Styela clava: one gene and its partners. The main gene of each other region encodes a partner of the protein of the gene in region 3 in a complex. Links are inferred from orthologs where the notes say so. Each region holds a gene or a part of one and is shown on either strand. Other genes may lie near its edges. The genes, in order: exosome complex component RRP40-like, exosome complex component MTR3-like and exosome complex component RRP43-like.

What was found.
Region 1: exosome complex component RRP43-like (region 3) and exosome complex component RRP40-like share a complex: the UniProt entries of both Homo sapiens proteins name them as parts of the RNA exosome core complex. The link is inferred for Styela clava from reciprocal best matches to the Homo sapiens genes EXOSC8 and EXOSC3.
Region 2: exosome complex component RRP43-like (region 3) and exosome complex component MTR3-like share a complex: the UniProt entries of both Homo sapiens proteins name them as parts of the RNA exosome core complex. The link is inferred for Styela clava from reciprocal best matches to the Homo sapiens genes EXOSC8 and EXOSC6.

What each region holds. Positions count from the first base shown.
Region 1 is NC_135256.1:11,221,908-11,229,335, reverse strand, and holds exosome complex component RRP40-like, read right to left. Parts: upstream 2,979-7,428; 5' UTR 2,943-2,978; coding exon 2,211-2,942; 3' UTR 1,788-2,210; coding exon of another isoform or gene 1,602-1,787; 3' UTR 794-1,601; downstream 1-793. Other genes in the region: putative protein-lysine deacylase ABHD14B, read right to left, coding at 1-180, 627-735; uncharacterized protein LOC120328953, read left to right, coding at 1,602-1,787, 6,688-6,818. UniProt on the Homo sapiens protein: Non-catalytic component of the RNA exosome complex which has 3'->5' exoribonuclease activity and participates in a multitude of cellular RNA processing and degradation events.
Region 2 is NC_135259.1:16,252,601-16,261,361, reverse strand, and holds the start of exosome complex component MTR3-like, read right to left. Parts: upstream 3,705-8,761; 5' UTR 3,662-3,704; coding exon 3,568-3,661; intron 3,187-3,567; coding exon 3,010-3,186; intron 2,024-3,009; coding exon 1,932-2,023; intron 1,537-1,931; coding exon 1,339-1,536; intron 842-1,338; coding exon 725-841; intron 1-724. Other genes in the region: superoxide dismutase [Mn], mitochondrial-like, read right to left, coding at 4,030-4,722; uncharacterized protein LOC120338528, read right to left, coding at 5,465-6,175. UniProt on the Homo sapiens protein: Non-catalytic component of the RNA exosome complex which has 3'->5' exoribonuclease activity and participates in a multitude of cellular RNA processing and degradation events.
Region 3 is NC_135250.1:31,192,343-31,200,115, reverse strand, and holds exosome complex component RRP43-like, read left to right. Parts: upstream 1-4,912; 5' UTR 4,913-4,936; coding exon 4,937-5,764; 3' UTR 5,765-6,409; downstream 6,410-7,773. Other genes in the region: nitric oxide synthase-interacting protein-like, read left to right, coding at 1-460; 2-(3-amino-3-carboxypropyl)histidine synthase subunit 1-like, read left to right, coding at 2,651-3,868; coiled-coil domain-containing protein 174-like, read left to right, coding at 6,419-6,655, 7,332-7,506. UniProt on the Homo sapiens protein: Non-catalytic component of the RNA exosome complex which has 3'->5' exoribonuclease activity and participates in a multitude of cellular RNA processing and degradation events.

The DNA of each region.
Region 1 (7,428 bases), on a different chromosome or scaffold from region 3:
CCGTACTCATTGCATATGAATAAAACACATTGATTCCATCAATTAAAACAAAATCTTCAACATATTCAACGTCAAGTCCTATTTCTGGATCGACTTCGTCCTTTTCATTATCAGCCAACTCAGGTCCTAATTTATCAAGTTTCTGTTTTGCTTTGATCATCGATAGTGCATCCACTTGAACTGAGAAACAATAGAAAAAATAGTTTTGAATTTACACTTATTGTGGTCAAAACGGGGCCAACTAAGTTGGCATTGCAGCTTACACATCTTTGGTTTAAAACCTTTGCCCACATACCTACCGAGCGTGTGATAAGTTAGGTAGGTAATGTTGATCCAGAATGAATTATGTTCTTTCAAAAATGAAGGTTCATACATAACAGGGGCTGATTATAGAGGGCCTTGTTGGAGCAAATAGGCCTGAAATAAGTGTCATACATAATGTTATGTCATTAAAGATAAGAATTCAGTGACAATTTTTGTCAAAGATATAGATCTTTCAGGTTAAATATTTTTACACCTGATTTCTTGCTGTCTGATTCATTCTGGACAAACAACAATACAAATTTTGTATAGGTTACTTATAAATGTATTGTGGATGACCTAAACCAATATATAATAAATCTTACTTGCTGAATCGCTTTGAATTTCATCACTGTTGGAGTATAAAATATAACATATACTTGAGAGGATTAATAAAGTCAATACCACTCCTCGTTTATTTACCTCCGCACTCATGGTTGCGTTGTTTATTTTACAATATGCCAAGCATTTATATTTAAACACCTGAATTACATCTTGAAAGTGAAAAATAAGACAGTTAACCTAGAAATATTGACAGTGTTAAAAAAGGCGCATTTACCTCTTATGGGAGAAAGAATTTTGCATGACCTTAAAGAATATTAAAAGCCAATTATAAGAACATAATCAGCTTTCAAGGTTACAAAGGGTATTTTTTATTCAAAAATCAGCAAAACAGTTACTTAGACTGTTAGGAGTGTTGCAATACGCATGAGTTGTTTGATGTTTTTGTTATTCTATGGATAACCCTGTTGTTCAGATAATATCTGAAAAAATGGAATATTTCAATTATATGACTATGAACTTATAATGGGTACATTCTCACTAACACCTAATTTTAGCTTCTTGATTGAAACTTGAGGGCAGTCAAACCACGACATCAACCTTTTCAAAGAGAATTCGCAAATTGAATATGATTGATTATCTGTTATTTATCCAATCAGGAAGCTAAATATAACACCCTATTCATAAACAACATATCTATCCATGTAAGGTATCTCGAAAAGAATTCTAAAACAGGTTCTGAACATAATTACTGTAGTTTAAGAGACATTGGTATGCCCACACAAATTAGCAATAACAACAAGAATTAATTAAAAAATTCCCGCAGGATGGTAATGTTGTTTAACAACAGGTATACATGTAACATGATACAAAGCATGAAACGATGAAATAAATATTAGCATCACAACAAGCATGTAAAATAGGTGCAACATGCATATGCTATAATACAGAGAATTTAGCTTTTAAAAAAATTCTTTCTCCTTGATTATCGCATTCTCAATTGTATGTTTTTTTTACAGTTCCTGTATGCAAGCATCTCAATGTTCCATTACATGGAGATCGTACATGCAAAATGATTGATTTACCAAGAGGAAGAGCTCTTCGTTGTACCACTCAATGTGACAATGGATATAAACTTGTTGGCAGTTCGTACAACACTTGCATGGAAAAGGGAATTTGGTCGGGCCAGCCTGCTGTTTGCAAAGGTAATTAAACTTACTGAATTTTTTCATGTATGTTTGTCCAAACTAATAAGCTTTTAACTAAAAGTGAAAAAGTATTGACAGAAAATCCATAATGACCACTGATGTTATAAGAGCCCTACATAGGTTTATCCCAGAAACAGAGCATATTTGCATAAATAGAACAAATTTGCCATTATATTAACCACACTGACAATGAAAAGTTGCCGTGACTTTACTCTGCCTTGGCTATGATATGATTATGTAAAGATTGGTTATATAACCAACTCGTATGTAAGATGAATGCTTGAAACTACTTAAATATGACATTGGATATTTGAACACAATGACAATACTCCAGTTCAATCAGCATTATTAATTGTCATTCTTTATTGTCACCAGTTACTTTGTAGAAAAAGGCTCGTTTCTCATTTTGTTAACGAGTATTTAAGCAGTTTGCCAGTTGTCTGCTGTATTTGAACTTAGTGATTCTAGAATTTGTTCATTTGTCATATATTCAGCTGTTGTTATCATATTCATTATAGCAATAATATGTTTATCACTGTGGCTTGTTAGGTGAATTTTACCATTCATTCCTATTAGGGTCTCAAAACCAAAATATTTCCCCATTTCTGGCAACAAAACACAATCAGGGGATAAGATTTTCCTAACTAGATTAAGTGGAACTGTTATCAACAATCCATTAGAAGGTACAGGACCCATTCCATTTGCTTTTCCTGAGCTTTGATCAATGCAACTCAATTCCGGCTCCATGTCTTTGTTTGCAGATATTAGTTTTCCAAATACTATATCTCCATTTACAAGATTCGGTCGATTTCGTTTCGTAGCACCCTCAAAAAATAAATTATTAAGAACGACATAGTCGCTACTTCCAATGTCTACTTTGTAAGCATCACCAATTTTACCAACAATAACCCCCAAAACGTTTTCACCCTTAATTGGAACATAACGTTTCTGATGACTGTCTATCCAAAACATGCTAGGCTGTTTGTGTCGTAGAATCCCAGACTTACAAACGACAATACTGTCATTCCCTTGTCTAAGACCAGGTCCGAGTTTTACTCTTTCATTTTTGCCGATTAAATCCAATACTTGTTCTGTTATGATGTCACCAGGCATGACAACACTTGCATCTAACTCTTTGGCTGGACATTTCATTTTTAACAGTGAACTTAAATTAGGCTAGGTAAGAATAATACTATATGGAAGGAAGAAAATTGGTGTTAATAAAACCAAAGATCAAACGGGTAAGAACAATGTGGTCCGGAATAATCGGTCCGATTTAAAAAAAAAAATGAATCTTTGCTATTTCGACTAGGTGATTATACAATTTTATGAGTGGTCTTCTGGTTTAATAATGCACAAAATTTTGCCTTTTTCATCTAATATTGAAAATGTATATTAATTTCATTGACTCTTGTTCAGAATATATCAAATGGTATATAATACAGTAATATTTCTTTCAAATTTTAATTGAAAAAAATACCTAGTCCAGAAGTTTCCAAACGTTTTGTTTGTGAGACGCCAAATTATCAGGGACAAAACTTACGGCACGCTCTCACGAAAAAAAAATGCTGCCTTTGATAAAACTCAATTTTGTAATAGTTAATGTCTACTTTATGCCTTTAAACTTTGTAAAATGGTAGGCATGAGGAATAAAGGCAAAAAGTCAACTCTTCTTCTTCAGCTCTGCCTGATTTTTTTTTAAAAAAGTTTAAAAATCTCTCATGTTCGCTAAACTCAGTTCAGCAGATCAAAAAAAACTAAAGCTCGTGAAATTGCATGTCTATTGTTATGTAACAATAGAGGCAGACACTACTTAACAGAAAGTAAATAACATAGAAACTTGTAAAATGATTTTATTGATTCAGATACACAGCATTTAAAATAGGAAACAATGGAACATTTATAATAAATTTACTATGTAAAATGGCCGTGGTTCGCCATATGGATAAGCCATCTCATCGCCCTTCCTCTCCCCCGGGATAAATATGTAAATCCTATCCTAAAATATTCAATCATATATTAGTTATGTTTAACACAATTCTGTTAATTTTTAATTATTGTATGACAGTGATGAATATGGGCAATAAGCCACAACAGACTAAAATAGAGCTGGTGTAATATAGAACCATACATTTATACAATCCTATCAGCATATGATAAGAGTACTTACAGACTTAAGAGTACCGGTACAGTTGAGATAATACTGCTTACAACATCTGGTCTGGCGTTATTACTCAACAATTTGATAAAATCCCACAAACTATTATATGCTTAATACTGAACATAATTTTTAATTTCTGAAATACATAAATACACCTTCAGACCTTATAATACAGCAAAATATTACTGACATATCAGTTTGGCATAAAATAGAGACTTTTCATCTCTGCAGAAATACCTTTATGTAAAGCCCCCGCGGCTAAAACTATATTCTGTGTTATTTGATATGTAGCCACGATTTTACCAGTAGATTAACTTCACATATATCTACATACATTACAGCCTGTGTAGCTGATAAAACCGACCGCTTTTCCCAGCGTCTAACAACGTTATACGTTTACTGAACAGCCGAGTATCTTCGATAACTATTGTAAATAATAACGACTCGCTTCGCTTCGACAAACATTAATTGTGCCAATGCGGTGGCGCAGAACAACCACGTGTGTGCGAAGCCACGCCTTTTGATGACTTGCTGGTACTGTTTGCGGTCGATGTTGATCTACCTTACCGCGTATTGCGTGTTTTACCGTATAATGTTTTTGTTGGATTTAATAAAACGCTTTCCTAATTTTCGTTACGAATGAAAATATTTTTTGTCAATTGTTAACCGATGCTGATGTTTATTACGTCAAGACGATCAATTGCTGAATTTTTGTGAGATACACACAATTTAAACTAAAATGAGGATTATTTATTACTTAATTTTTATTCGCTGCTATGTAATAGAACAATAATAGATAAAAATAACAGAAGTTTTGTTCACACCTCAGATTACTCTAATTTGTGTCTCTTTGTAGCAGCAATTCTCATACTCATTGGTGGGGCGATACTCCAATGAAACGTTCCAGAACCCATGTGAAATAGTTTTATTGTCAGGATTGCATTAACTTATATATATATATATATCAGTGGCGGCGCGTCAATAGAGCCAACCGGGGCAATGCCGCAATGCCCCGGTTGTTTTTTCGGTATAATAAAAAATATTCGAAAAATACCTCAATATCGGTTGCACAGACTGTCTACACTAGCCATATTCTCCCGACATGGTTCATTTTTCGCTCGCAAAGCCTTCGCCGAACGTCGACGGGGCGACTCCGATTTTGCCCGGGTTGCTCATTGTATATCGTATTCTCTCTTTTATCTTTCACTCGCCGCGTTTGTCTCGTTTGTTTTCTGTTTCTTTTACTAAATCATCGGGGCTAGCCCCGAAATTATGACGACACAATGCCGACGTTCTTACAACAACGTGTTGACATATTCACGCATTCCTTCTCGTTCGTTGGTTGCTTGAAGAGTTGATAGTTTCCTCGCCTTCGTTTTTGTCGCTTGTTTCGCTATTTGAATCAGTTAGAGACCTTGAGTCCATTTGCTTTCGATTTTCCACATTCCTTTTGAGCTCCTCACTTCTTTCCGGCTTCGCATTTCTTAGCCTTAGACCTCATAATGAAAAAGGTTGATGCACTACTTCGCACTCCGTTTTCGCAGCTGCCGCTGGAACAAAAATTAGAGGTACAACGTCTTGGGCCTTATCAACCAAAAAATTGTTCACTGGAACAATCCCATGACGGAGGAAAGCGTCGGCGTACATTCTGCGCAGAAACTTGGTATAAAAAACACGAATGGTTGTGTTACAGCGAGGACAAAAATGCACTTTTTTGTTTTTATTGCCTACTTTTTGCTACCGCCCGTGACTCACGTTGGTGTAAATTTGGTTTTGGAGATCTTAAACATCTTTCCGAGCGTGCCAGGGATCATCAATCTTCTATGGAGCATCTGGACAATGCAGTAAAATACCGAACATTCGGAAATGTTAATATTGCAGCACAGTTGGATGAAGGACGCGCGGTTTCTATTCGTCGGCACAACCAAAACGTCGAGAAAAACCGCCATGTTCTCGGTCGATTGATAGATGTTTTGAAGTTCATTGGTTGTCACGAGCTGTCCCTCCGTGGGCACGATGATGGGTATTTTTGGATAAAATAAACTATGTTTATATTTATTAATCCCTTGACTTGGACCGGTTTTAAAGACACTTTCTTATCGTTAAAAATTGTCGCTTTTGCCGATTGGTTGTTACCGATGGAATGATTTTTATACTCATAAAATGATAAGAGAACTTACAGCGCTCATCCTGCCCCCGTAGATGGGGGTGACTTGGTCCCGCAGTAGCTTGCCCCGGTTGTCAAAATGACCACGCGCCGCCACTGATATATATATATATATACCGTATATGCAGAAGCAAACCTAATATTGACAAAAATAAAAGATCTATAATGAAAAGTGTAGCAAGTTTGATAAAAGTGGCAAAACTAATAGGCATTTTATTTAATCTGAACGATATATATATATATATACAATGAAAATAGACTCGGAAACTCGCGGAACCCCTGGAATGTACTTTCAAGTCAACCCCAGTTGGAAAGCGCTAGTCTATAGTTTGTTTAATTAGTTTAATTTAGCATTGCATTTGGCATCATCTCGAACAGATTTTTTTTGTAATCTGTGCCACGATGAACATTACTTCAAACTACGAAAGAATTGAATTTTTCACGATCCAATGTCCTATAAACTGCTTTCTATATCACCGCCTCGGTCGAAGAAAATTCTTGTTTACATTTCCTCTTAAAGATGCATACTAGTCTACAATAATCAATCATTATTCTTTGACTCATTACAGCGGCGTCAACTCGCCAGACAAAGAAGATTCGGTTTAAATTCCGGGAACATCAAACACTACCTTGCGGAGAAGTCTACGGCCTCGCATCCTTCCGTAAAAATGGAGTCGTTTATCTAGTTGCTGGCGACAAGGTATGAAGAAACGTCTGAGTAATTCGACCCCCTTATATTACAATCGAGTTGTCATTGACAGCTCAGACTATTGTCAATGTTTTTGAAAGACATTTGTTTATTCCATACATAGCTCGGTCATCAATATACTTATATAGGCTAATCTATAGTCATCTTGACATCCTTAACAAATTTTATTATTGGACACAAAATGGGCCTATAGATCGTTTTGGTATTTTTGTTGTTATGAAAAAAATCGCTTTTCTCTCCAATTACTGAACGAATTCAGTGGTTAAAGATTGTATTTGTTGTAAGAAGGCTATCAGTCTTATTTATTTCACAAGGTTCTGTGAGCCCTTTGTGATTCTTTTTTTGTGTGGTGTGTGTGTGTGTGTGATGACGTCATTAAAATTAAAAATTGCGCATCTTGTGGCGGTTCCGCGTTCGCATTGGTAGCTTTCTGAAGACTGTGGTACCGGTAGTCTGCTGCTATTATTACGTATCGATTTTAATCGCTAAGTATGTTGATAGGTATTTGTTTGTCTGTCTGTCTGTTAGATGCACGCGATATCTCACGAAAGCGAGATTGAATCTGCTCCAGATTTTGCATGTGCATTCATCATATGTCGTA
Region 2 (8,761 bases), on a different chromosome or scaffold from region 3:
TTTCCATATCGCAGAATATAGAACGAGAACATCATAGCAAAATACAAGATTTCTAAATCTATACAACTATCCTGATGTTAGCTGTTAGCAAAATATTGCTGTCAAAAATATCTGCATTTAAGCAGCACAAAGGTTAATTTGACTTGTGAAAATGGAGCAGTACGCGAGAGATTACAGTACTATTAGCGCAAAATGCACGTTCAACGTTCATTTTAGCACAAGATACGAACACAGCAACAGTTTCACCAAAGCACGCGCCATGTGTGCCATTTTTTTGTGGTATTGCAGGCCAGATGAAAGAACGCCGCAAGCCGGATCCGGCCCGCGGGCTGTAGTTTGGTGACCCGCTGTTCTAAGGAGTTTGGTGGTGGCCTTTTATTGTCATGCCTTTCGCTCAGAACAAGGCCCTGTACAAGTAGCCACTGATATCTAAAGCTACATTACTACTATTATTTGAAAGAACCAGAATCTTTCTGAATCGGTATCACCTCCCCCATTTATTACATTCTGCGATGCCAACGCAGTTGAGTCATCAGCCATCACAGTCACACTATCCGCCATCTTCTGTAAAAGGGATAAGTAAACTAGAGGAACAATACTAAACTAAATAGCTCAGGTATCCACTGCCAGCTAGCTTCCCATATCAGTGGCGAAGAATTTTCAAAAACAATAAAATTTCTTCGTATATCCCTTTCATTATTATTCAATATTATCTTTAGTTCACCTGGTTTAAAAGTGGGAGAAGGGCAACTGTAACATTTCCTTGATTTATGCATAACGCACCATCACTTGTATTGGAATCAAACTCTTCTAACGCTGTTGGATCATGAATTAACATATTCTGGAAGACACAAAGATAGGAATAGAGTAGTAGTTTTCAACCTTTTTGTTGGAATGGAACTCCAATGAAACATTCCAGACACAATTCTCCCTAGTTGAACAATATACATCTCCTGGATTCGCAAACTAAAGTCCAAACCAACAGTGACGGGAGTACCGTGTTCCACATAAACATAGATTGGAAGTTGAGACTTAATATTTATCCTATCTTTCATTACATTTCCATGCTTCACCAATGCCATTACCAGACTATGGGAGAGGGCTCCCCTCGGTATCTCACAAGACTATATAAACCAGAGCTCAAAGCTTAAGCCGACCCTCGTGCTTAGCAATGTGAGGGTGTTCCTAAAACTTGCAGGCTGTTTAACAAGGGTAAATGTGCTAAATAGAGGCGTTGGGCACAACATTTCCTAGGCTGTTACTAAGTCAAGCAGCTTAATTAAAGTATTTGTTATCATAACATAAATAGACACTTGTCCAGTAATAAATATAAAATACCTTTCCTGATAGTCGTACATTGTAGGATGTAACCATATCATACATTTCAATAGATGCGTCTGTTAATGCAAGCGATGCCGCCATGATACCAGCAGCTAGAGAACCTCCATCATTTTCTAATACAGTGACATAAACATCAACTTGTGCTTTTGGAAATTTGTGCATCAATACTGCAGGCTCAAGAGCTTGTGCTAAAATCTGAAAAAAGTTCGATGCTATATTTCTAGATTTCTTTCTCTGATAGAGTGAGAAAACGAAACAGATAACAACAAAACCACACTACTGATAATAACCTATTTAGAATTCAAATATGAATGTTTGATTGGTGCAATTGTACACTCACATAAAAACAAATAGTTGAGCCAAGATTCTTATTAAGCCACATATTGTTTTTTCACCAAATTAGAGAATGCTCATCAAAGCAAGTAAATGTAGTTCAAACCAGTAATATAGAATATTACTACATACTTTACAAATATAATTAATTGCAAATTCCATTCAAACTAATTTTTTCAAGATCGCTAGTAAAATAAACTGTGTACAAGTAACACAACATATGCTTTGAAGATCTAGCAACAAAAAACTTATTATACTTGTGAATATTCCATTTCTTGATTGTCACGTATATGACCTCTTCTTTGTTTACATGAAAATGGAGCAAATTTGAATTCACATTTCAACACACCTGTTAGAAGATAAAAAAACTGACGTTCAAATGTATTTACGAAAACCTAATAGAAATTTCCAGTTTTAATGTTTTTTCCAAGAAGTATTTCCAGTCTTTTCTGAATAAGTAGTGATTCATACCTTTTCAAGTTGTACCTTTTTATTTTGTGTGATATAAAATTAAACGCTTTTTCTCGCCACTTCTGTTTCAAAGTTCATCTCATATGTGTCACATTACTATTGTTGCTTGATTGTTAGTTACGAGTTAAAATGTTTTATAATTGGTAAAATATAAAATGTAATCTGTCAACCTTTTTCGTGCCAGGAGAGTTGTTTTGATTTAGTGACCGTATGGTCCTTCCAACCTCCTATCAATTCCGTTGTTAGTCGATTATCCTTCTTTTACTTATTGAATGTTGTTAATATTTGTGTTTTTATTTGATTTGTTGGCTAATACAGTAACTGGATGATGAATAAATTCCTATCTAAATGAGACTAGGGCTGGGCATTTTCGAATACCTGGTGATTTCAGAATCCTATTGAATATTTATTTGGGAATTGAATCTTGAATACCTGGGAGATATATAATTGTATGCACATTTTTATAGTATATTTTTATTGGTCCTGTCAACAAATGAATTATTGAAAACATAGAATACATCATTCACACAAAATAAGAAACACGCTTTATCAATAACCCACTACGAAAAATGGTCATATGTAGGATTTGCGTCGAAAAAATATGGCTTTAATAAAAAAAACTTGCTTGACCATTGGCGGGAAGAAAAAAAAACAAGATGGTGATTTGGAATTTTGCTCTATACTGATTCGAATATTATACTTTTGGAAATGCCCAGTCTAAAAAAGACATTGCCTGACATACTAATAAAGTCATGCTGACTCGTAATCGTCTTGAATATATCACACTCAACAACATTACGATAAGATTTATTCTGGCTACAACTAACTTGTAAACATGAAAAATCAATGCAAAATCAAGTTTACCTTCCATTTGAAAATCATCTCTTCTTCCAATATCTCTAGGTCCATATACAGCACAAATAACTTTGGTATTTTTCATTTCTATATATGATGAACCTCGAGCTTGTGATATGACACCAGTTTTCAAAAATAATGGTCTCACTTCATCTGAACTTCTTCCATCAAAACGACGGCCATTTTCTATGAAAGAAAAGTTGCTTTAATTTTGTATTTGAGGATTCTGTTAACCAACTAACTCATGGACCGATATATTAAAAAGATGGGCAGTAAAAAATACAAAAAAATAGATCATTGGTAAATTTCTCAATAGCTGTGATGAATACATGAGTAAAATTGCGTCCCATAATTTTAAATCATACATGATTACAATTAGCTGAAGAATCAGGAGAAATTTACACCTCATCCAAATTATGAGACAATTAAAGTTAACGTAATTTCTACATTGGCTTTGAAAAGTTTAAGAATATGAATTCGGCAAACACATACCAAATTTCACAGCCCTTGAAACAACAGAAACATGATGAGCAAAAACAACAAGATAAATTCAAAAATCATAATTACCCAATAACTGCGTTGTTTTCTTATTATCAGAAATAAATATATCTGGACTGAAGCTATTTTCCGGAGCAGGTATTCTTCTTGAATCGGTAGGCATAATCGCAAGAAATAACTATAACTTTGCAATGTAACTAGTTGTGAATCTCTGTGATAAATTATACAATATTAAACAGATTTTACCTCAACGATGGAATAACTGTTTATGAACAATTACCAATTACATTATTGAATAGTAATTCAAACAAATTCAAACACCTGAAGCTTTCGATATATTTAAAAAAAAAATATGAATATTTTGCAACAGAATATCACATTAGTTTAGTTGTGAATAGAAAACGAAATTGGGTGCCATTTTGGTATGCGATCTCATAAAGACATGAATTAACCCTCTAAAATCACTAAGATCACACAAATGCAGAGTTCGCATACCAAAGTGGCAACCAAAATTATTGTTGTAAATAACATTTATTTTGACGCTGTTTCAAATCTGTCTGAAACATTTGACCAGTTAATAATATCAAATATAGCTTTAACATAGTCAGGACGAACATTTTTGTATTGAAGATAATAAGCATGTTCCCAGACATCGATTCCGAGAAGTGGTATCAATCCAGTAGTTGCAAGCAATGGATCTTGGTTAGCACAAGTCGTTATTTCTAATCTTCCACACTCTCTATTGTATCCGAGCCAACCCCAGCCAGAACCCTGAACAGCGACAGTAGATGCAGTAAGCTTTTCTTTCATTTTATCAAAGGAGCCAAAATCACGATTAATAGCTTCAGCTAACTCTCCCTGAGGAACTCCGCCACCATCCGGAGATAAATTTGTCCAAAAGATGGAGTGATTGATATGGCCGCCACCATTGAATTTGAGAGCAGGAGCGAGATTGATTATTGCCGTTGCATCGCTCTTTACTTGAGCTTCAGCAAGTTTCTCCTCTGCTGCGTTTAGATTGGTTACATAGGTAGCATGGTGTTTGCAATGATGTAATCGCATTATTTCTTCAGATATTGTCGGTTCCAAAGATTTGTAATCATAAGGCAGATCAGGTAAGGTGTGCTTGCTCCGCACACATGTAATAGAACTTACTAATAATCTTGATTGAAGTCCACCCACAAGCTTCCCTCCAGCATTTCGAAGGCTCATCAGCATATTCATTATAAAGTACTGTGTAATATAATTGCATAAAACCTGAAAGCAGAGTTACCATTTGATTAATATGGACACGATACAATTAATCCAAATTGGGAAAGAATGAAATTTTAAAAATCATTTTATATGAAAAAAAGCTGGCATGAAGTCTCAATCACTAGAACAGCATAAACTCTCATTCAGTTAAGATAAACCCAAGTATTGAATTATTTTTAGATAATGATATTTCTGCCAGACAATCAGAAATAATGGAATAAGCTGCAACTGGCCAGTGATTGCCGAAATCATGTTGAGTATCCTTTATAGGTATTAGCATATCAGGTTACATTGTTGCATATTTTACAAGTTCTATGTTCGTAATAGATAATCCAATATCTTTCCAGTTCTGCTGAAATGCTCTATTTTCATAACCATATATATGTAACTAGAATTCTCAAAAAAAATATTGGATTATAAATTCAGATTTACCAACAAGAACTTAACAATCTAAATATTTGAATTCAATACTAACTAGTAAATTATTTCTTGCCTAAGCAGTCAAGGCCAATTACATTTCGGAAACATCCTAATTGATTCTATTACTGAATCAAATCTTTACAATTTACATCACACAGCATGCTCATTAGCCACTTTTTCTGTCTTCCTGAAATTTAATAAGGGCAGTTCAACCCCAAGCACTGGCTTCTCCAGTGACACTACATGATGAAATGATGGATAGTTGCAAAAGGGTCAAAAAAATTCTGAAACGTTACACCACGTTTTTTGTGTTCGCATCTGTCAAAATCAAATTGACACCATTAAATTTTTTATCCGATACAACTTTTTGCAGTCTTTGAATTTCATAAACCATGTGTTTTTGAGTTCTTTTACTTTGTATTTTCGTTATTCCCTTTTCATTAATTGTCTTAAATCCTTCTAATGGATCTGTGTCTTTCAATTTCTCTTTCAGCCATTTTGGTTTTCGTTTTCTTTTTTTCTTAGTTGAAACAATTTTTGCATCAGTTTGACTATCGTCAACAGAGCTGATAATTTTAGTTATATCACTCAAAGCGAGAGACATTGGCTTCAAGTCACCAACAACAGGAACATCTGATCTTTTCTTTGCTGCTTTTTTGCTTTCTTTTGTGACTCTCGTCACTTCTAATTTTTCCAAAAACTTTTGACGTTTTAATTTTCTTCTTTTTTTCTTATTCAGATGAATGTTAGATGCAGCAGATTTTTCCTGAACATTTACAGAAGCTACATCTGAAGTGAAATCAATTTTCTTTTCCTCATGTTCCTTTTGATCAAAGGAACTAGTTGAAATCTGACCACCACTGAAAGGATTTAGTGACAAAGGAGGAAGCTGGATAGTATCCAAGTCTTTGGGTACTCCGATTTCTTGATTTGTGCTTTCTTCAATTTGTGAATTTTTTGTAGACAAGTGGAATTTCGTTCTATTTCTTCGAATTTTACCCATTTTTAGCACAATAGTTACACAATACTTGTCTCAGCTGTGTATAAAAAAAATATTAAATTTACTTTATAGAATATTCAGGTCTCGAGTAGTTTCGTACCTCAAGTACTTCCAGTGGGCATAGCATAACAATTTTTGCACATGCCAATCCTAACCCCCACCTGACTACGCCATGCAAAAAATTAGGTCACTACGACGTCGCAATCCTGTCATAGAGCTTGCAAAAGTATAGCTATGATCGCCTGAAATGGCATATGCATCAGAGAGCATCATACTAGTCTCAATGATGGTTTAAATCAAGCGTGATATGTCTCCGCCATCAGTCCATCACATGACCAAAATTGCGATTTTTGGCTAAAAACTATCGAAATCTAATTTTTTTAGTAAATCAATATTATGTTCTGATTAAAGAATCCAATGGTGATGTCTTTAGATTGCACTTCCTTCTGGAACAGATATCGACGCCCAGACTGTCTCGTAAAGCAGGGGTGTGCAAACTGCGGCCCGCGGGCCGAATGCGCGGGCCAAAGCCCATACCAGTCATATTAGCAAAACAAGCTAGCAAAATTCTGTTTCAAAATACACGATTTATATTACAAAAACGTGTTTCTCACTGCATTCGTTTGAAGTCGGTGCGACAAAAAATTTAAATAGCAGTTTCTTCAGAAGTTTATGCGTTTTAAATCTACTATTTCTGCAAGAACCCCTAATAATGCCGTAAGATCAATAGCAAATATAGGCAATTTTTGTGCTTGCAACTACCAGAAAGCCTAAATTAAATAAAGGTGCGCCCGCGGCTTCACCCAGTTACTTGTATTTGGCCCGCCAATAAAAAAGGTTGCACACCCCTGTCGTAAAGGATTGGTTCACACCCACTATTATGATTGATGTTTTTCAATGTAGGGCTATTCTTGCAATTGGAAAACTGTGCCGTATTGTGAAACAGTACAGCAGTAATACAGCTAATAATAAAGAACAAAAATAAAGCATAAATACCAGTCAAGAAACAAGTGCCACTACAGTCTGACAGTTGGAAATTCAAGATGCTTCGCTCAGATTAATACAAATAAACTATAAAAAACGCAATATCTGGAAGTCGGAATACAGGAATATAGAATAATCTAGCCTATACATCCTTGCTTAAATACTGAAATACCACTAAACAAAAATGTGATGTGAAACTACAGAACTACCCAAATTTTCATTCTATTTTTAAAATAAAAGTCCTTCATGCTCGTACACAATACTGCAATACCCTAAACGGCATAGGACATACATACAGTACCAGCTTAGTTGAAAATTGAGCAGGTTTAATTTGAATTAAACGTGTGCTTCAAGAATTTTTTTCTTCGACATACAGCATTATAGACTACGATATTTTTTAATTAGGCTACATTAAAATTTCAATTCACATTTTTGTTTAGCGTTATTTGCACAGTTACCGTATGGCTTTACTGTACTAAGCCCTCGACTCACACAATCCCTCACAGTCTCACACAAACACCCATAAAAATCAAAAAAATAAATTGATATTAATTCATACTAAAACAGTAAAATGTGAAAATCACGGCAATCCTGCAATCAGTCGTTCGCAAAAGCGACATTGCCATCAATATACTGATATATTAATGGTATAAACTCTCTGGTAAACTGGTAAACGCTGTTTTGCTCGCTGACGAAGAAAGAACAAGTTTGGCCAAATAATTGCTCAAGTGTAAAGCAAGATAAACCTTTGGCTTCAGTAGTCCATTTTGGAAAATTGACAATTTCAATGGGACTGCTTGTACTGCGAAGGCACGCCGATCACTGCAATTCTAATTGCCACTGTCATATCAGCAAAATCCTTCAGCAAATAATACGCTGTCATAAAAACATATTTCTAAAATTCTAATTAATAGTCACGGAAATGTAGAATTGTAAATTGAACATTATTATGTATCTATCATCTGATAACACACAGCATTTATGATCGAATGAGAGGTTCAACAAAATATATCTATTACAACAAAATAACGTAATATTTACAAAAGAAATTGAAAATTTATTAAATTGACACCAAATTTGATCAAGATCCGACTTTGTTAAATTGACCCAGAATTTGGACAAGATCCGCTTTTGGGGCTCAAAAAATATTTTGTGTATGAATTAATGATACCTTCAACATGTTTTTGAACAAATAAAGAAATAAAACAAAATCAGATCTTGTTTATATTTTGGGTCAATTTCACGATCTTCGGATTTTTAAGAAATTTACGTTATTTCGTTGTATAAAAGTATTTTGTTAGAAAACTGATCGAGTTTTTTTTTCAATTTCTTTGTTTGTTTGAAAACATGTTAAAGATGTCAATCCATATCCCAAATATTTTTCAAGCCTCAAAGGTTGGTCTTGTTCAAATTTTGGGTCAATTTGACGATTTTTCGGATATTTAGGAAATTTATTTTATTGCGTTGTATGAAAAGTATTTTGTTATCATTTGGTATTTACGCATACATGTTTTTGACATGTATACAATATTTTATTGCAATACTTACATGATGTTATCATATCAAAGTATATATTCTTATTTTATACACATGCGACTGGATACG
Region 3 (7,773 bases):
TTACGGAGATAAAAAGAAAGAATTAACAAGCTTCTGGATCCCGCAGCTAACGCCAGCGGCAAGCAAAAGTCGTTTTAAAAAACCAAGTTCGAAGGTGTATTGTCCGATAAATAACACTTCGATCAAAATGAAAGATTTAATACCGGTGAAATTTACACCAATTGCTGATCGGGACACAAAAACTGCGCTAATTAGTAAAAAGGACCGTTGGATGTGTGCAGTCACCCATGACACTTTAGGGAACTCTGTACCGTCGGTTGTTTTGCGTCCGACGGGCGACGTCGTTACTGCAGATTGTGTTGAAAAATTAATTAAACCAAACGAAATGAGACACCCTATAACCAATGAAATTTTAGATGAAAAACGAGATATTATTCCGTTGCAACGTGGCGGGACTGGTTTTTCTCAGACGAACGAATCTCTGGACGTTAAGAAATACAGACCTTCCATGCATGTTTAGTTTGAGTGAAAATTTCTAAAAAAAATCTCTCTTTCTGAAAGCTCCAACGAAAATTTCCTCCATTGAATATTTGGTACTGCCGTAGTGGTGTGTACCAGGTTGGGGTTATCCCACAATTTTTTTCCGATTTTCTTTATTTTAGTTCTGTTATGAGTTCGGAGACTGTCTGTGTCAGCCAAGTAAATATACCACATAGGTTTCAGTTCCTTTACCCAACTTGATGTAAAGTAGCCGAACAAAATTAGTTACCTCCATATTGGTACACACACTTTTGGAGCACCAAATATTCTACCCAGACAGTATAAAATCCCAATCTTAATCACTATTTTTGAAACTTTTTGGCGTTTCCACTTCGACACAAAACACATGTTTTAGTCGAGTATACGTTGGAAATGACTCTAAATATGACATGGACAAACTACGACTGCTGGGTGATTCTGTCTGGCCCACCTGATGCTGCCACAACCAAACTAAAACCAAATTTTGATGTTTTAGCAAAAAAAAAAGCTCAGGATTTGTTGAGATTGTGAGTAAATTTAGTTTGGGCATGAAGCTTATTGTTTTACATGTTTGCTTTTGTGATACTGTAGATATTGTTCATAAAATGTAATTTTTTATGTTTCACTCACATGGCCCGCCAGTCTAGGTGGGCAAGTTTTGGCTTCTGGTCCCCCCTGGGAAGTTTTGGCTACAACTCCCGACTGCAACGAAACCTTTGAATATCCGTTGTGAAGGATTTTTTAGTCGATTTAGTCGATTATTACCATTGTAAGTCTGTATTTTTGACATATGTCGTTACAGCACACTATCCAAATTCCAAGAATTTCCCCCTCATTTGGCTCAATGAAACAAACACTCTATGTGTCTCACCAACGAGGGGCGTCTGGGACCACGTCAGATGCTTCATATCGTGCCATGCTTGTCTCGATAATAATCTAAAATAATCGTGGGCGTCACATGACCAAAATTGCCGTTTTTGCTAAAAACTCTCGAATGCTACGGTCAAATTTTTTTTCCTTCGGTAAATCGGATTATTTTTTTCCAAGGAATTCAATGATGACGTTACTGAAGTGCGCTTTTTTGTAGTATTTTGCGCAACTTCATTATACAGTATTATTACCGATATTGAGGGACAACAATGTCCAGACGTCTCCCAAAGAAGGGGTGTCTGATCATCTGTAAAATGGGTTTCTCAGAAACGAGGCAATGTCACTCGATTTGTATAGTGTGCCGTACTGTATGTGCCATATGACTATGAGAGTTGTGGAAAAATAGTTGCTCTTTTTAAGCCACACCCACTTTTTAGAATTTGTCAGGTCCCCCTCTCAAAAATAACTAACTAACAAGAGGCTACAAATAACAGCTAGTAAGGCGGGAGTATGTTTCATTCAAAAAATACGTGAATGGAACATAAATAATAATATCAATGAAAATTTTTGAAATGTAAATATCCAAAGTAAGACGGACAATATAAAATCTAAGAAATATTTTTACTCTTGTTCTCTCAAAAAATTGTCCATGCTCCCCACAGACTTCTCACATTAGTTCTTTAACTTTATTTTTTATTCTCATTTTCAATATAAAGTCATTATAGTTGTTTGCTATATTATTCTATTCTATCTCTATTAGAGTTGGATCGGTATTTATGCCATAAATGTGGTACTCTCGTTGTGTGTGTACCAGGGTAGGGTCAGGTCATAATTTTATTCAGATTTTTCTTATTTTAGTTCCATTACGAGATCGGGACTGTCTGTGTTAGCCAAGTGAATATATCCCCTGCCTATAGGTTTCAGTCCCTTTACACAACTTGATGTAAAGTATGCGAACAAAATTAGTTACTTCCATATTGATACACACACTTCTGGAGCGCCCTAATTTCAATAAAAATATGACAAACTCTGATGCCACTGCCCTGAGATCATCTGTGAGGTTATATCTATTTAGTCAGTCTATGCATCTGGAGTACTTAACTGGTAAATAAATCATCTCTATGTGTAACCTGAGCTGGTAACAGGACCAACGCCTTGGTCTGCCAATAAGTGAGCTGTCTTATTGCATTCCCCCTCCCTGAGTATAAATATGGAAGCTTCTATCACAGTTTGTGAAGTTGAACTTTTTTTCATTTTCAATATAAAATCATTGTTTTTACACTAGATTATTTATCTAAATATAGGTTTATATTTATTTAAAATGGAAAATCAAACTGCAGTTGTTAAAGCTAATCCAACAAGAAAACGGGTTGGGCCAAAATCTAGAATAACAGCCAATCAAATTCCAGCTGAAATTCTAGAAGACTCCTCATTGGCTGCTGCAATTTCAAATCTTCCTTCAAATTACAATTTTGAAATTCACAAAACAATATGGCGGATCAGGCAGAACGGAGCAAAACGCGTCGCTTTACAATTTCCTGACGGACTTTTGATGTTCGCTTGTACCATTTCTGACATCATAGAGGAATTCACTCAAGCGGAAACTGTCATAATGGGTGACACAACATACGGAGCATGCTGCGTTGATGATTTTTCTGCACGTGCGCTGGAGTGTGACTTCATGGTTCACTATGGCCATAGCTGCCTCATACCTATCAACAATATGCCTGATATCAAAATGTTATATATTTTCGTTGATATTAAGATTGATATTGAACATTTGATGGCGACAGTGAGAGAAAATTTTACACGTGAACAAGCGTTGTATCTAGTCAGCACCGTGCAATTTGTCGCTACTCTACACGCAGTCAAAAACCAATTGATGAAGGATGGTTTTAATGTTAATATACCACAAATCAAACCGTTGACGCCTGGTGAAATTCTTGGTTGTACTTCGCCGAATGTTGGCGATGTGAAATGTGACGCTGTGATTTATCTCGGAGACGGCAGGTTTCATCTCGAATCTATGATGATTTCAAATCCAGAAATTCCGGCTTACAAATATGACCCATATGCAAAGACTTTTACGATCGAAAAGTACGACCATTTAGCTATGCAGAAAGTGCGAAGAAACGCGATCGAGAAAGCACGAAAAGCTGAAACGTGGGGGCTGATTTTAGGTACCTTGGGACGCCAGGGATCTACGACTGTTCTGGACCATTTAGAAGAGCGAATTCTTAACTCTGGACGAAGAGTTGTAAAAATCTTACTTTCAGAAATTTTTCCGTCAAAATTAAAACTATTTCCTGATGTTGGAGCATGGGTTCAAATTGCTTGCCCCCGTTTGTCCATTGATTGGGGCCTTGCCTTTGACACACCCCTCTTGACCCCGTACGAGGCTGCTGTGGCAATCAAAGACATAGAACCGTGGGAGGGGAATTACCCTATGGATTTTTATGCTCGTCAATCTAAAGGACCCTGGACTCCAAATTATCAGCCTCCAAGAGAGGTTAAAAGTAAAGTTGTCAAAGCCACTTGATATAAAGCTAATCTGGCACTAGTTTTTAAACTTTACTGAAATACCCATCGAGTCTTAGGTCATCTGTGTAAAGTAATAAGCTTTTTAACTTTTTATTTTAGGGGGGTGTTTCCAAATCTAAGAGGTGGTAGATATTTAGCTATTAAAATAGCTAAGTGTATTATGTAATTAACTGACCGCCTACACTGGTATATGAGTCACTTTCTGAATATTCAAGTACAATATTCCCATCCAAGTTAGAAACCTAAAGTGAAATATCAGATCTGTGGGAGGTCAGGTTTCAAATTAAGGTTTACTTAGAGGTATTACTAGGGCTGGGCACTTCAAATCGATTCGAATAGTAAATTATTCGAATCGGTTCAAAGCAAAATTTTGAATCGCCGCCATCTTGTTTTTGTTCTTTTCGACCATGGTCAGGTGAATTATCCATTTTTTTTTTATTGAAATCATATTTTTTCAATGCATTGTTGACATATGACTATTTTCTGTAGTGAGGTATTGATAAATAGTGTTTCTCATTGTGTGTGAACGCTTCGCAATCTGTCTGAGTGACGTATTCTATGTTTTCAGTAATTCATTTGTTGACAGGACCAATTACAATAAAAAAAAGTCGCATACAATTACATATCTCCCATTGACCCAAGTATTCGAGATTCGATTAGAAAAAAAGATTCGATTCGATTCTGAAATCATCAGGTATTCGAAATTGCCCAGCCCTAGTTATTACTGCATCAAGTTGGTAAATTTTAATTTTTCAAATATTATTTTGCCATTTTGCTCAATTATTTGTTTTAATTTTGAATAGTTTCTTTGAGCATTTGAGGTCTCACGATACGAACAAGGAAGCCATCTTTAGTGCATTTCCAAATTCAAACTTTTCAAATATGCATTGACTTCTGTGTGTTCTCTCTTGAGCATGACCCAATTCGGAATATCTTTATTACTTCTGAGTGAGTTTGCGATGCTATTAGAAGATTTTTTTTCAAAAATGTAACATTATTTATAATTTAAATGCTACAATTTTTGTGCTTTTTCTCATTTTAGATTTTCTACGTAACTAATTTAACTATGGAAGATATTACAAGTAATTTTGAAGCTTCATTGCCTTTGGAACATTACAAAGAGGTATTGAAAAATGACGTGCGACCGGACGGAAGAGATCTTGGAAAATTTAGAAAAATGACAATTAACGTTGGATCTATTAGTACAGCGGACGGCTCTGCTCTTGTGCAAATGGGAAATACCATGGTCGTTTGTGGGGTCAAAGGTGAACTTACGAAACCCCCTGCTTCGAAACCAGATTGTGGAATTATTGTTCCGAATGTGGACTTATCACCGATGTGTGCGGCTCATTTCAAACCCGGTCCACCGTCCGAACAAGCACAAGTTGCGAGCCAACTTCTTAATGACATCATAAAGACTTGTGATGTCATAAATCTTGATGAATTATGTATTTTTAAAGACAAACTGGTCTGGGTTTTATATTGTGATGTTGTTTGTTTGAGTTACGATGGAAATTTAAATGATGCTTGTATAATGGCTTTAGTGGCCGCTCTCGAGAGCACAACGTTGCCAAAAATAAAATACAATGAAGAAAATGATGTCATAGAGACGCTCGCTGACCCGGAACAGAGGTCAAAGTTGATAGTTCGAAAAAGGCTAGTTTCTTCAACTTTTGTGTTATTCGACTCTACTCATCTAATTGCTGACCCAACTTTGAAGGAAGAGGAAATGACATCGGGAGTAGTTACCATAGTAACGGATGACCAAGGCAAATTGTGTCATCTTCACAGGCCTGGGGGGTTCCCCCTCAGAGACAAACAATTAGAAAAATGTATAAAAGCAGCAACGCGGAACGGTCAAAAGTTGCACTCATTGCTGCAACAATTTCAATAATATTTTTATTCTGATAATAATAAACTAAAGCAAAATTTGCATAAATGAAGGATTTTAGAATAAATATCCTAATTAAAACTGACCAGTAGGTACAAGGTGCTCATATGAATAGGCTGGTAACGTGAATATTCTCTTTCCTGACTTGAACATGAGGTATATGTAAGGAGAGGTGTGGCTTTATATGTCAATATATCTCTGCGTTTGGTAGTAAAGTTTGATTGTGTTAACCGCAAGTTAGCATGTGCGATATAGTTTTCTGTTATCAACTCAAACAAATATTTATTTAACTAATTATCACCAGGTTTGCCCAAAACGAATCAAATAAATATCAAAGTATTTGAATACCTTTTCGTCTGATTTTTGAATAATCCTGAATAATAGCCACTTTTCGCCGTAAGCGTGGTGTTCGTTTTCAAGGGAAATCTTATTTGTTGTATCTATCGTATTGAACCTCAGCACTCTATTGCTTTCTCTCTCCACTGCAAACCAAATTTTCCATAGGGGACTTTAAGCTTCCTCTATGCAAATCCAATCATACGTTCATGCTATGCTTTTTGTGCACTATTTTTACACTCTAAACAAGACTCTGTGTGAGCAAACACCCTCTTTATGCTCTTTCTAATCATTGCCAACTTCCTTTCTTAGCTAACAAACATGTTCAGTTTAAAATCGGAACTGTTTAAAAAACAACAGGAGGTGACTTCAAAGAAATCTGGTCAAATAGTTACATCGGCAATCAGAAAACAACATAAATTGAAAAGTTCTTCAAATGGGGAGGGGAAAGTACCTGAAAATGAGAAGAATCCGGGAGTTGAAGAACGTAACGCAAGAGATATTGCCGAAACATCTGAAGAAATAGATAAAGGGAAAATGGTGAAATCTGTGCTGGAGGTGAAAATGAATTCTTTTGTAATAAAAACTATTATACCTTCTTTTCGGATTTGTTGTTTTTTGCGATTATTGGAGATGAGGTTATAGGTTTTGCATTCCCTGGAAGAAAATTTTTCTATTATGTGCTGATTTCTTTACCTTTGCTCAGAGATGAGTCTCTTTTACTCCAGAGTGACTGTTTGTAACTTTGCTCAGATATGAGTATCCTTTACTTTGAGTGAGTGCATGTGACTTTGCTCAAAGATAGGTTTTATTCACATGCAATGCACTAAGCTTAGGTCACCGTCTTATTACCTATCGATCTTAAGATTGGTAAGTATGTTGATAGGTATCTGTCTGTCTGTTAGATGAACGCGATATCTCACGAAGGCGTAGTTGAATCTAGTCCAAACTTTGCGTGTGCATTCATCATATCTCGGACCAGCAGCCTATTGATTTTGGATGAATTATGTCTCATAATTAGCGAGGTATTAATTAATTAGTTATGGGACACGCGGATTCACTATAGAGTCATGAATCGAAACTGCAGTTTTGATCGATAAGTCTTTGGTCTCCGACTGATATTCTCGTTCATAATTCATTGGCTTTGACTTGTCATTATGATTGAGCGGTCTCATCAGCTTTCTTACACATTGTCATATACGGTAAGTAAAATGTTTTTATTTTATTATTCAAGGCCAAAGCCAAACTCTATGAGAAAATGTCATCAGGAAACCTGTTGCCAGATGAAGAGAGTTCTTCATTATTTCTGGTTGATTTTGAGCAGAAATCCATGGATGCCAGATTACAGAAGACAAATAATGAACTGGATATCAAACCAAAAGTTGGTGTAAATGTGGCAACAGAGTTAGGTGAGCAATTGTAAATCAAGGATTTTGTAGGGAATTGAGAATCTTAGGAGAAGTAAGCTGGTACGATCAGTAATCAGTAGTTTATTTGTCACCATACTTTTTACCAAGACATACAAATTTCAATAAATAACAAGAGATCGATGCTCAAATATATGGACACGGTGTAGTATCGTATACAGTCTACTCCGAAAATTTCAAAGCATTTGGTCCAGTACTCAGAAAGAAAATTGATTTTTTTCTGTGACAACGAACAACAACAACATAATA